3 linked regions of the Danio rerio genome follow. The protein of the gene in region 2 purifies or fractionates together with the protein of the main gene of each other region. This does not show direct contact. Links are inferred from orthologs where the notes say so. Each region holds a gene or a part of one and is shown on either strand. Other genes may lie near its edges.

Region 1 (4,078 bases), on a different chromosome or scaffold from region 2:
ATAATTTAAGAAATATATAGATAAATAAAACTTATGCAATCTGCACTCCGAAATAAGTACAAAGACTGCCACCTGGTGGTTCAAAGAGAAAATGTATTGATATGAACTTTTTAAATACAATGCAAATGCACAATATTCAACTTTTTTAAAAAAAGGATACTGATTTATGCAGTCATGCACATGTTGTGATCGCCAATATGCCGGTGATATGTTGCTTCACAAAAGTTGCAGACACCTTCACCTTTATCAAAATGCTTTTTTGATGGAAAATTAATTCATACAGTTATTCCTTACTCCAATTAAAAAAAACTTGAGTAGGCCTAAGCTACTATAATAAAGAAAATCTTCTCTAAATGTAGAACTAAATACATTGATATGCTTTAAAATACATAATGAATACTCTTGACACATGAAAGTGTTAAGCCTGCAGCTCACAACAAACCGTTTACTGCTTGTTTGATGTAATTTTGCTCACATGGATAATTGAATATTATTCAGATGATGTCATTACGCTGCTGTGCCGTCAGCCAATCGTTGCATTGCTGATCATGATTTCGAGGATCGATGGATCTGTCCTTCACAACACATGCAGCGATCTCAGATCAGTTTATCCAGACATTCTAATCGGATTCGCAAACTTGTTTGAAGAACCAAATTAGCCAGAGATCAGTTATCAAGATGAAAAGATCCAGGATCTGCCAAATCATCTTATATCATTTAAGCGAGGTACGAAGAACGGACCCCAGATCTATTTTCAGTTGTTAGACACCCACATGAAAATATACGACAGTAATCTATAGTAAATAAAATTGTGATTTTTAACCATACTGACATCTCCAATAGATAGAGATGTTGCACAAACACCTAAAATATTGCCAGAATTGGTCTTTATGTATGTGTGATTTATATTGCATCACCAAAAATGATTGAGGTCATGTCCATGTGTTGTACGCTCAGTCGTTATATTGATTATTGTGACAGGCTTACTTGAAAATAGTGAAAAAAGAAATACAATAAAAATGTACTGTATTTTTATCAGCTATGGTGAACATAAGAAACATGTTTTTCAAAAGACAAGAAAATCACCTTGTTTCATGGCATATTTTTCTTGAAGAGCAGGCTGAATCTTTTCAATTTGTTTAGTAAGGAAGTCGATTTTGCGTTTAAAGAACTCTTTGCCGTCCTCTACATTCTGAAAAGACAGAAAAGGCAATGTGATTTACTCAGTTTTGACATTTTTACATATACTAAAACTACTAGACTGATTCTTACTCACCTTCTCCACAAAATAACCTGTTCCCACATCCACTAACACATGATCCACATCATGCAGCTTTCCAGGTACATACATCTACATGACTGAGGTTAAGGGAATAACGGACCACTGCAAATTAATTACACACACATCAAACTGTCTGTGTGACTTTCTTATGTGGCATAAATCAATCAGAACTCATTTATAACTCAGCTGTTTAGAGGATACAGAACTGGTGAGAGGGACGAGTAGTTCTTTACCTGAGAGAAAAAGTAAAAAAAAATTAGCAAACGTCAGATTTAGCTAAAAACGTCATAAAAGAGTTTTAAAAGTCACCTTCATTGCTCTTGTTAAGCACATTCAAACTGTCTTTGGCCTCCACATATTTTGTTTGGACGACTTTCAGCTGAGCTATAGACGATGACAGGAACTCTGTTTCCTAGAAAACACATTTTTAAGCAATTTATACAAAATAACGTGTAAATCTACCTTGAGATGTCCCTTTTTGGTGTCTCAAAGTAAATTAACATTATTGCATTTATATTCACAGAAAGCACACTGAACGCAAGCAAAGTGTTAACTTAAATGTTTCAAATAACTTTTGTAAAAATAAAATCAAAAAATGAGTGAAAATCTATCAAATAATTAACAATAATAATAATTTAGGAAATAATGTCAGGGTAATTCAGAGCAACATATATATTTATTTAAAAATGGGAAAAACATAGTACTTATTCTGTACTAGGTATGGGGCGATAACTGTTTGCAAGGTAAACCGGCAAGGTTTGGAATAGTCAAGGTTTTAAACCTTAAAAGTAAAAATTAGTAAAATAAAGGGTTTGAAGGATAGTGACAAATTATGCATGTTTAAAAAAAGAAAAATAATTAGAATTTGGGAGCTACAGTTCAACCTTTAAATAGTTAAATGCCATCAAAATAATCTTGGTCTAAAAATATGGCTGCCCAGAATTTTTAATATATATAAACTATTGTTATGACATTTTTGTTGGGGTCTTCTGTAAAATACAGTAAAATAAATATGACGGTCAAAATAAAACAGATAATCAGGACACATGTAAACTTCAAAAGTTTACTCACAGAAAAACAAAATTAGTCTTTTAAATTAATCTTATACAGATTATAGACTTGGTACCAAAATATATTTCAAACTGTGAACTCGTTAAAATAAAACCAAGTTGTGTTTAGTGAGAACTGACTGAGACACCATTCACATACAATGCAAGTGAACGTCGATAAAGTCATTCTGCATCTCATTTTCTGTCATACGGAATAAATGCAGCCATGTGGACAATCATAGAGGGCTTTTTTTCCGCATTACCAGCAGCAGCAGCACGCGCACAGACAGCATGACAACCGCAGCCCGTCAGTAAATTAATTCACTGACAGAAAAACAGCAGCACCTGATGCTACTCGGACATACGAAACGATGATGTTTTTTATTTTTAACACAATTTACCTGATCAAGCTGAGTTTTCAAGCCTTCTAATTGTGGAAGAGACAATTCAGTGAGATTCACCGCCATGTTGACAATAAAAGAGGGTGAGGAAAACTTCCGGGTCAAGCGGACGCAACTAAAAGGACTTTTACCATTGATTTTTTTCCATTACACACTACAGTCATTTGTTATACTTTAACAAATAAAACGTCGACTAAATAAACTAACAGTGCATTTATACAGCATGTATTAACATTACCTTAAAAAAAAAGGGAGATGACCAGCTAAAACCAGCTTGACCAGCCTAGCCAAGCTGGGAGTCCAGCCAAAACCAGCTATATCCAGCTTAAACCAGGCTGGGCAAGCTGGTTTTAGTTGGATTTGGCTGGTCATTTTCCAGCCTGACCAGCTAAGACCAGGCTGGAAATGGCTGGAAACTAGCCTGGAAATGGCCAAAACCCCTCTAAAACCAGGCTGGTCAACTGATTTTTCAGTAGGGAATGTATTTGATTAGTATGTAAACATGAGTAAATCCTTATTAATCAATTAACAAACTATTCATTGTCAATGCATGTGGTGCACAAATTTCAACTATTTTAAGCCTCATTGTTAAGTATTAGAATAGGTTTGTATTTCAGTAGACATTGAACACTAAAAATACACACCAGTTAAAAAGTGAAGAAAATGTACACAGCTCAAATCCTTATAAAGCTCATGGGCATTCATTAATGTTTGTGTGTGTATGTGTGTGTTTGCCTTTATGTGTTTGGTATTGTCCTGAGTTTTCTCCAACAGGAGTAGTGTGTATTTTACAAAAGCAGAAAATCTCATCTGAAACACTAACTCATGACAGGAAGTCCGTAACACTTGTTTAAATTAATATTTCATTTTTTCAGATTCACCATTAAACCTGGCCGTTCAGCACATAAGAATCACATCAGATCAGGTACGTCAGATATTTGTACGTCTCTGAAAACGCTGTCCCTGACATTTTGAAGACTTATGGGAACACCGATTTCAGTGTTTACAGTCCTTGTTGCCTGTCGGTTTATCCATCAGTCTGCAGTGACAGATGACCAATTCATGTTTTTCCTCCATGTGTACTCCTTTACTAGCACATCCCTCATTTCAGTTAACCCCTGTGTGCTGTTGAGGGTGTTTTCATCCACTCTGGGGTGATTTTGTGTCTTCATTTGGTCAACTTTTTCTGTTTCAACTAGCAGAACGACTTTGGCGACAAATTTAATTTTGACACGTTTTTGGAAAATGCTTTGACATTTTTAAAGAACTTAACGATACACTCTGGGCAATTTTGCTACCCTTTTGTTATGTTTGGGATGAAAACCTCCACTAATTTAAACTGCTGT
Region 2 (4,092 bases):
ACATCTGTATTTACCATTGTCCACTTATAATCGTACTAACGCATTTTAACGAATGTAAACAAAGCGCCTGTGTTTAAACCTAACAATTTATTGTAACTTTTTTGACCTAGATTTGCAACTTTTTTTTTCAAGTCAAAAGCGTTTTAAATTTTTGTAATGGCCCACAATGACATTCCACAGTTTTTCCTGTATATTGTATTGAGTGCCCTATAAAGTGTGTAAAAAAAATAAAGTCACCTTTGCTGCCTCCAGCATCTCCTGCGTCTCTTCTTGCGAGTGACTGATAAACACGTCTCCAATCTGATACGGGATCAGCATCGAATCATCCTCACACATCATGAGGTCATCACTGGCATCCTCTAAGTTCTGTAAAGATTTCTACGCACAATAAAGATTATGCGTCAGTAAAATGCAGCTTATATCCTGTATAAATCAAAAGCATCACAATATTACCTTTTTGGCCTCGATTTCATCTTTCAGTTCAGACATCCGATTTGTGTTCCTGGCAAACTTGTTTATCTTTTGCTGGTCCTCAAATGTTACATTGACATCCTCTGCTGCCTGTTCAGAATCAGAATCAGAGCTTTATTGCCAGGTATGTTCATACATGCGAGGAGTTTATTTTCGTGACAGAAGCTTTTACAGTGCAACAGAATGAGAGAGACAGGACAAAAAACAGATAATAAATATATTTTAAAAATAGAAGTAAACTCAAGTTATGATTCAAGCAGTAGTTTTGATTAAACATTGTGCATTACTTATTATGGTTTGATTTAATTTAAATTAATTCTGGTGTTATTGCATGATGACGTAGTAAAATCTCTGTTAAATGTCAATGTACGATCTTTGGCCCCACATATTACCCAGTGTGCAAGAAGTCTCGGTGTTATGTTTGATGAAAATTTTAAATTAAAGAAAATTTAAGAATTAAAAAGAGATCAGTCCTGTCGTAAAAACCTGATTTTACCACCTTAACAACTGTCTAAAATGAAGCCATTATTATCTCAGAGAAATTTTCAAACAATGATCCATGCCTTCATAACACTGGATTACTGTAACTCACTCTATTTTGGTATTTCTCAGTCTTCTCTCTCTTGTCTGCAGCTGGTACAAAATGCAGCTGCTAGACTAATCTCTGGCACCCGCAAGTATGAGTCGGTAACTCCGATTTTAGCTGCACTTCACTAGTTACCCATTAAATACAGAATTGATTTTAAAATTTTATTATTTGTTTACAAAGCTGTCAATAGTCTTGCTCCTCAGTACCTTACAGACTTGCTCCATCCGTATACCTCCTCTCGATCATTGAGATCTTATGATCTCAATTAACTTACGTAACCAGAACATGCCTTAAAAAACAAGGTGATTGAACATTTGCAGTTGCTGGTTCTAAACTCTGGAACACCCCACCAATTCACATTAGACTTTCCCCCTCTATTTCTGTGTTTAAGTCTGTTTTGAACACCTATTTTCTCTCGCTTTAATACTCCTTGATCAATGTTTTATTGTTTTATTTTCTAAATGCTTCTTTTATATTCTGATTTCGTCTCTGTGTTTAGTACTCCTATGTACAGCCCTTGGGTCCACCTTGGTTGTTTTTAAATGTGCTTTATAAAGATGCGAACATTAAAAATGACAGGATACTCAAAAATGCTTTTCAAAAATGTAGTTGCTATGTTAACCAACACAGGCATCAGAAATCTTCATTTAAATAGGAATTCATGTCATTGTTTTGACTCCTTTACACATTTTTATAAGCGTTTCACAAGCTCTCAAATTATGAAGTTACCATCACATGGACACACACAAACACTCAGCATTGTTTTGGATGTTCGGTAAGCTCTGTCAAAAAATATGCCTTGCTAAATATGCATATTATTTGCATTTCTTTGTATCTTTAGATTTACTTTTAAAATTTTACAATATAAATGCTAAGCAAATCATAAATCTTTGATTTGAATCCTGTCATCTTGACTCTTTGTGGTTTAGACTCGATGTGATTTACACAAATATAAGTTTGCTTAGCATTTTATACATTTAAAAAAAGCTTTTTTATGTAAACTAAACTCTATATAAAAGAACAAAATAAACAACCCAATATACAAGTTGTTAATCTGGTCAATCTATAAGAAATATTTAAGAATGACAATACAATTATGTGATTTAAAACCACCTAAATTTAAATGTAGATAGATAGATAGATAGATAGATAGATAGATAGATAGATAGATAGATAGATAGATAGATAGATAGATAGATAGATAGATAGATAGATAGATAGATTGGTGCAGAACGATGAACGTAAATGTAAATAATTACAATAAAACTCATTAACAGACAGGCACGAATAATATGACGTTAGCCATCCAAGCCGGTGAAAATAAACAATAAACCGTCCTCAGTTTCCCTCAGCTGTCTCTTTCGTTTAATATTTTAGATATTTCAGCATCACCAACGCGTTTCTCAGGGATGAGCAACAAAACAACGTGAATGTAGACAGAAAGCCGATAATGGGAACACATACCACTCCTTTCTTCATGGTGGCTGCCATCTTGAACGGGAAGCGAGCTGCGTGCACGCGCCTGAACGGCGTCTGAATGGAGCACGTGGATGTTTGAGTGTTTGTTGCGTGTTTCGGTTGCTGCTTCGAAAATATGGTACGTTTGACAAAGAAATTATGAAGTTTTATGTTTGAATCTAAATTACTGGCTTAACTAAATGCGTTTTGAAGTCGGTTTTCTTAAAATTATCCGCTGTTGCAAGGATTTTGGGCTGCAGCCATACAGACTTGAGGATTTTAGTTAGCAACACTTACTGACATCTTCTGGACAACCGTAGATTTACTCCCACACAAACATACTTTTGATGATTTAAATGTCGAATTCGCATGTTATATCATATATATGGGTGTTTACATTGGAAATGGAAGTGTAAAATGCGTTTTTTCCTTATTTTGTTTCGTTTTCTATTAAATATATAATATTAACATTAAAGTATGTTTAATATAGATAACGTTAGCTGTTTACTTAAGAAACAACGTTGTCTTGGCAATAAGTCTTTGAGAAGCTTTTCTTGGAAGAAAAATCTAAATGAAGCGAGTTTTTAGTTAAAAGCAAAAATAACTAATAGTTGTCTCTAAAGCAATGGATGGCCAAACTTTTCGTATAAAGGGCCAAAAATCAAATACCGTCACGCGCCATGAATATGTATGAACAAATATACCAAACTATATTACATTTAAATTGACTTGGATAATTAATTTCCTAATTCATTTTATAATATTTTAAAATAAATAGAAAACATCACTTTAAATCCTATTAACTAATGCAGAATAACATTTTAATTGATAATTTATTGCAATAAAAATTAACAATCTCTTTAGAAGTTCAATGCTGAATACTCTAGTCACTAGTCTTTGACTTGATTTGCTCACCTAAGTCTCTACATTATCAGATGACAATGTGTACATTTAAACAAAATCTGATTTAATTTACACAATTTAATTGAAACACTTAATTTCAATTAGCTTTTAACAATAAAAACTAGCAAAGGGCTACATTAAATTTAAACTGACAACCTCAAAACCATCCCCATCATTCTCCATCTCTTCTCAGATGGGATGACGGGACAAATCAAAGCTTAACATGTTCTAACTTTGGCCCACATTCCCTAGTTTTTGCATCTCTGCTATAAAGTAAATAATTATCCTAATTCTTATTTGAAATAACTATAATTTTAAAGGCTAGGTTATTTTTTGAAACTTAAACTCACAAAATTTTTAAACAGTACACGGCCAACTTAATAACAAACTATGCAATTGAGGAATATTTAATAGCCTATTTATAAAGGAATTATGAGAAATCATGGGTTGAATTAAAATGTACTTTTTTGTCCCTTTATATCTAGATTTATCCATGTCTAAGAACAAATAAATTTTTATACAGTTGAGATCAGAATTATTAGCCCCCCTTTGATTTTTTTTTATTTTTATTTTTTTTTTATTTTCCAAATGATGTTTAACAGAGCAAAGAAATTTTCACAGTATGTCTGATAATATTTTTTCTTCTGGAGAAAGTCTTATTTGTTTTATTT
Region 3 (4,092 bases), on a different chromosome or scaffold from region 2:
TATATATATATAGTCACACTTTACTATAAGGTTTATTAGTTAATGTTAATTAATGCATTTACTAACATAAACAAACAATACATTTACTACTGTATTTGTTCATGTTAGTTAACGTTAGTTAATGAAAATACAGTAGTTCATTGTTAGTTCATGTTAACTCATGGTGCATTAACTAATGTTAACAAGCATGGATTTGAATGTTAATAATGCATTAGTAAATGTTCAATAATGATTAATAAATGCTGTACATGTGTTGTTCATGATTAGTTCATGTTAGTAAATGCATTAACTAATGAACCTTATTGTAAAGTGTAGCCATAAATTTAAATATCTATGTAACAAAATAGTTTTGTAGTTTTGTTTACATGTATGCAAGTATCATAAATATATAATAAATATAAATATAATACACACACGGGCGAAGCAGTGGCGCAGTAGGTAGTGCTGTCGCCTCACAGCAAGAAGGTCGCTGGGCCGAACCTCGGCTCAGCTGGCGTTTCTGTGTGGAGTTTGCATGTTCTCCCTGCGTTCGCGTGGGTTTCCTCTGGGCGCTCCGGTTTCCCCCACAGTCCAAACACATGCGGTACAGGTGAATTGGGTAGGCTAAATTCTCCGCAGTGTATGATTGTGTGTGTGAATGTGTGTGGATGTTTCCCAGAGATGGAAGGGCATCCGCTGCGTAAAAACTTGCTGGGTAAGTTGTCGGTTCATTCCACTGTGGCGACCATGGAATAATAAAGAGACTAAGCCGACAAGAAAATGAATGAATGAATATTACACACAAACATCACAAATAAACTTTTATTTTGGATGTGGTTAATCTTTGTCCAGCACTAATATAAATGCTTTTTAAGTACATAAAAATACTAAGACGCAGACTAAATAACACGTCTTGTCTTCGGCACAGATGTTTACACCATTTATAAGTATGACTGAGCAAGAGACTGATGAAGCAGCTCTACCTTGTAGCTCATTGAGACGGTTCACTTTCGCTTTCAGTCGTGTGCGGAGGTCTGTTATTTCCTTATCAAGCTGCTCTTGGTCTGTCAGGAACAGTAGAACAGCTCATTTATTAAACACAGTGGCACATGTGAAGGGTTATTCACACAAAAGCACAGCTGAAAAAGACACACTCACCTTTCAGGATCATTGATCTGGTGCTTTCTTGAGGGAATTTGATGAACATATTTCCAAAACACACCTTTACATTATCTAGATTAGATCGGATTCAATTTTATTGTCATGTGCAGAGACAAACTTCAAATGAGAACCAGCATTAGGCAAACAAAATAAGATTACAGAGCAAATGGCATCATCTATTAGTTTTGCTCTTTGTAGAAGAAATCTGTGTTTATTTTGTTCTGAACATCTTCTTATGTAAAATACAATATGTGTTTATTGAGGTAAAGTTTGTTTTATACACACACATTCATTCATTTCAACAGTGTCAGCTTGTGACTCCCTCTCTATAATGTTTATTATGCTACTTTGAATATTTGGTCAGAAATGGCATGTAAATATGACTTCAAAACAACATCCGCTCTATTGAGCTGACTGTGAACAATACTGGACTGTGATAGTCATTGGCTGCTAATATGATTTCACTATTTATAATTAACAGTTTTCTGAATTTATATTAGGGCGACATGATGGCTCAGTGGTTAGCACTGTGGCCTGACAGCAAGAAGGTCTCTGGTTTGAGTCCCAGCTGGGTCAGTTGGTGTTTCTATGTGGAGTTTGCATGTTCTCCCTGTGTTGACTTGGGTTTCCTCCCTGGTGCTCCGGTTTCCCCCACAGTCCAGACACATGCGCTATAGGGGAACTGATCAACTACACTGGCCATAGTGTATGAGTGTGTGAATGAGTATGTATGGGTGTTTCCCAGTGATGGATTGCAGCTAGAAGGGTATCCGCTGTGTAAAGCATGTGCTGGAATAGTTGGAAAACTTAGTTCATTCCACTGTGGCGACCCCTAATGACTAAAGGGACTGAGCCCAAATGTGCCAAAAAAAAAAAAACTTTGTAAATATAAAAAAGTTGTGTGTTTTCAGTGGTTGGAGTCATGATAACTTACTTTTCTTTGTTTGAATATCCCTAATATTACATATATAATACAATCATATTAAATATTAGTAAATTATTAGATTTTGGATACCCATAGGATGATTTTTTAAACCCATATTCACAAAAAAAGGTGCAAAAATTCAAGCCATAAAAACTAAAATGACAACATAGTGAACTGAACTGATAAATCATGAGTAAAACAAGTTAATTAAACATTCTAGGGTAAATTACAAAAAATAAACCTGTAGTAAACATACCGGGGTGTTACATTAGGTGTGGTTATAAGCTTAATAACCCTATTACTGACACATTATAAATGAAATATTTATTACTTTGGAAGATACGTGTACTTATATATGTGCTTTATACGTAGTACAAGTTTTATACGCATGACACTGCATCCAACACCAAGCATATGTGCCATTAATGCATTATAAACCAGTATTCTGTAGTCTGTACTCGCCGTTTGGTGAGTTGTTTCTTAACGCGCTGAGAGCTTCTCGGTTTCTGTTTCTCCGCACATCCAGATCCACAATCTGTCACATGTCAACCACTTCAATAAACACCACATATAAAACAGAAATTACCCGATAATTGACTGCTCCTATAACTCAATCGCACCTGTTGTTTGTCGGTGAGTATGTCTTCTGCAGCAACCTCTACCTCAGTCAGATGCTCCAGTACCCGCTGCGCGCTTTCGTCCATGCTGAACTGTGCGTGTGTTATGCGCTAGACGAAATAAGTCCGACTGAGAGTGGAAACAAGTTGTGCTGTATTTTCGTTCCGGCTCACAGCGACCATCAGCTCCGACTTCAGATGTGAGATCCACAACGAGGAAAACAAACCTGATATTCGTAAAGTAAAGTAAAAAACTCTTCAGGAAAAAAAATGACTCAAAAACGCAGCAATAAGAAAACTGCTAAAACGTAACAGGAAATGCTAACTAAATAAATGTTCAACTATGGTTCAGTTTTATAAATAATTATTAATAATTATTGTCAAAACTGTCTGTATAGATGGACGTTTGCTGCTGACAAAATAAATTAAATTAAAATTAATTAAAATTAAAAAATAACATTAATAAACCGGTGAGGCGGTGGCGCAGTAGGTAGCACTGTCGCCTTACAGCAAGAAGGTCTCTGGTTCGAGCCTCGGCTGGGTCAGTTGGTGTTTCTGTGTGGAGTTTGCACGTTCTCCCCGGGTTGGTGTGGGTTCCCTCTGGGTGCTCCGGTTTCCCCCACAGTCCAAACACATGCGCTTATAGGGGAATTGGGTAGGCTAAATTGTCCGTAGTGTATGTGTGGGAATGAGTGTGTATGGGTGTTTCCCAGAGATGGGTTGCAGCTGGAAGGGCATCTTCTGTGAAAAACATATGCTGGATAAGTTGGCAGTTCATTCCGCTGTGGTGACCCCTGATTAATAAAGGGACTAAGCTGAAAAAGAAAATGAATGAATGAATGTTAATGAACCTATTAATAATCTGCATGTGTTGTGCTCAGCAGTAACTGGCAGCAGATAGTGTTTGTAAGAAAATAATCTTTTGTTTAAAATATCTGGACATACTCTGGATGTGGCTCTTGCATGTTCGAGTAACTCCTCCCATGTCAAGAGGATTGCAAAGAGCTTAAAACTGTATTTATGATCATCACAATCACCGTATGAGTCAGGCAGAGAATGAGGAAAATAACAAGTTACACACAATGTGAGATGATGGCTGCTTCTCAGTGGGATGGAGGAGCCGGGGCTAATCATGAGCAGACTCAACACTTCAAATCTTCATTTCTGAATAAATACATCACAGTATATTTATCTTCATTCACAATACAAATATAAATAAATGCATAATATTATTGTTATCGCAATATTAGTATTTGCAATATACATTCTTTTTCATTGATTGTTTATCTAAATTAGATCAATCAGATGGGGCCATAATATCTTTAGTCGCGCCTCCCCAGTAGTGGCTGTTCTGTTATTGGCTGGAGTGTCCTGAACCCAGAGCTGAAAATAAACACTTATGGGTGGAGT

Evidence for each region.
Region 1: the proteins of pfdn4 (region 2) and pfdn5 purify together in Homo sapiens (affinity purification with mass spectrometry; 5 studies listed by BioGRID and IntAct, counting the BioPlex papers as one, with this or other methods). This does not show direct contact. The link is inferred for Danio rerio from reciprocal best matches to the Homo sapiens genes PFDN4 and PFDN5.
Region 3: the proteins of pfdn4 (region 2) and pdrg1 purify together in Homo sapiens (co-immunoprecipitation; 3 studies listed by BioGRID and IntAct, counting the BioPlex papers as one, with this or other methods). This does not show direct contact. The link is inferred for Danio rerio from reciprocal best matches to the Homo sapiens genes PFDN4 and PDRG1.

What each region holds. Positions count from the first base shown.
Region 1 is NC_133181.1:42,215,183-42,219,260, forward strand, and holds the start of pfdn5 (prefoldin subunit 5), read right to left. Parts: upstream 2,805-4,078; 5' UTR 2,799-2,804; coding exon 2,733-2,798; intron 1,695-2,732; coding exon 1,592-1,694; intron 1,516-1,591; coding exon 1,484-1,515; intron 1,352-1,483; coding exon 1,277-1,351; intron 1,193-1,276; coding exon 1,087-1,192; intron 1-1,086. UniProt on the Homo sapiens protein: Binds specifically to cytosolic chaperonin (c-CPN) and transfers target proteins to it. Binds to nascent polypeptide chain and promotes folding in an environment in which there are many competing pathways for nonnative proteins.
Region 2 is NC_133198.1:41,423,372-41,427,463, forward strand, and holds the start of pfdn4 (prefoldin subunit 4), read right to left. Parts: upstream 2,818-4,092; 5' UTR 2,552-2,817; coding exon 2,525-2,551; exon of another isoform or gene 2,521-2,524; intron 562-2,520; coding exon 454-561; intron 379-453; coding exon 238-378; exon of another isoform or gene 1-237. UniProt on the Homo sapiens protein: Binds specifically to cytosolic chaperonin (c-CPN) and transfers target proteins to it. Binds to nascent polypeptide chain and promotes folding in an environment in which there are many competing pathways for nonnative proteins.
Region 3 is NC_133186.1:392,370-396,461, reverse strand, and holds the start of pdrg1 (p53 and DNA damage-regulated protein 1), read right to left. Parts: upstream 2,805-4,092; 5' UTR 2,770-2,804; coding exon 2,686-2,769; intron 2,601-2,685; coding exon 2,528-2,600; intron 1,213-2,527; coding exon 1,138-1,212; intron 1,044-1,137; coding exon 963-1,043; intron 1-962. UniProt on the Homo sapiens protein: May play a role in chaperone-mediated protein folding.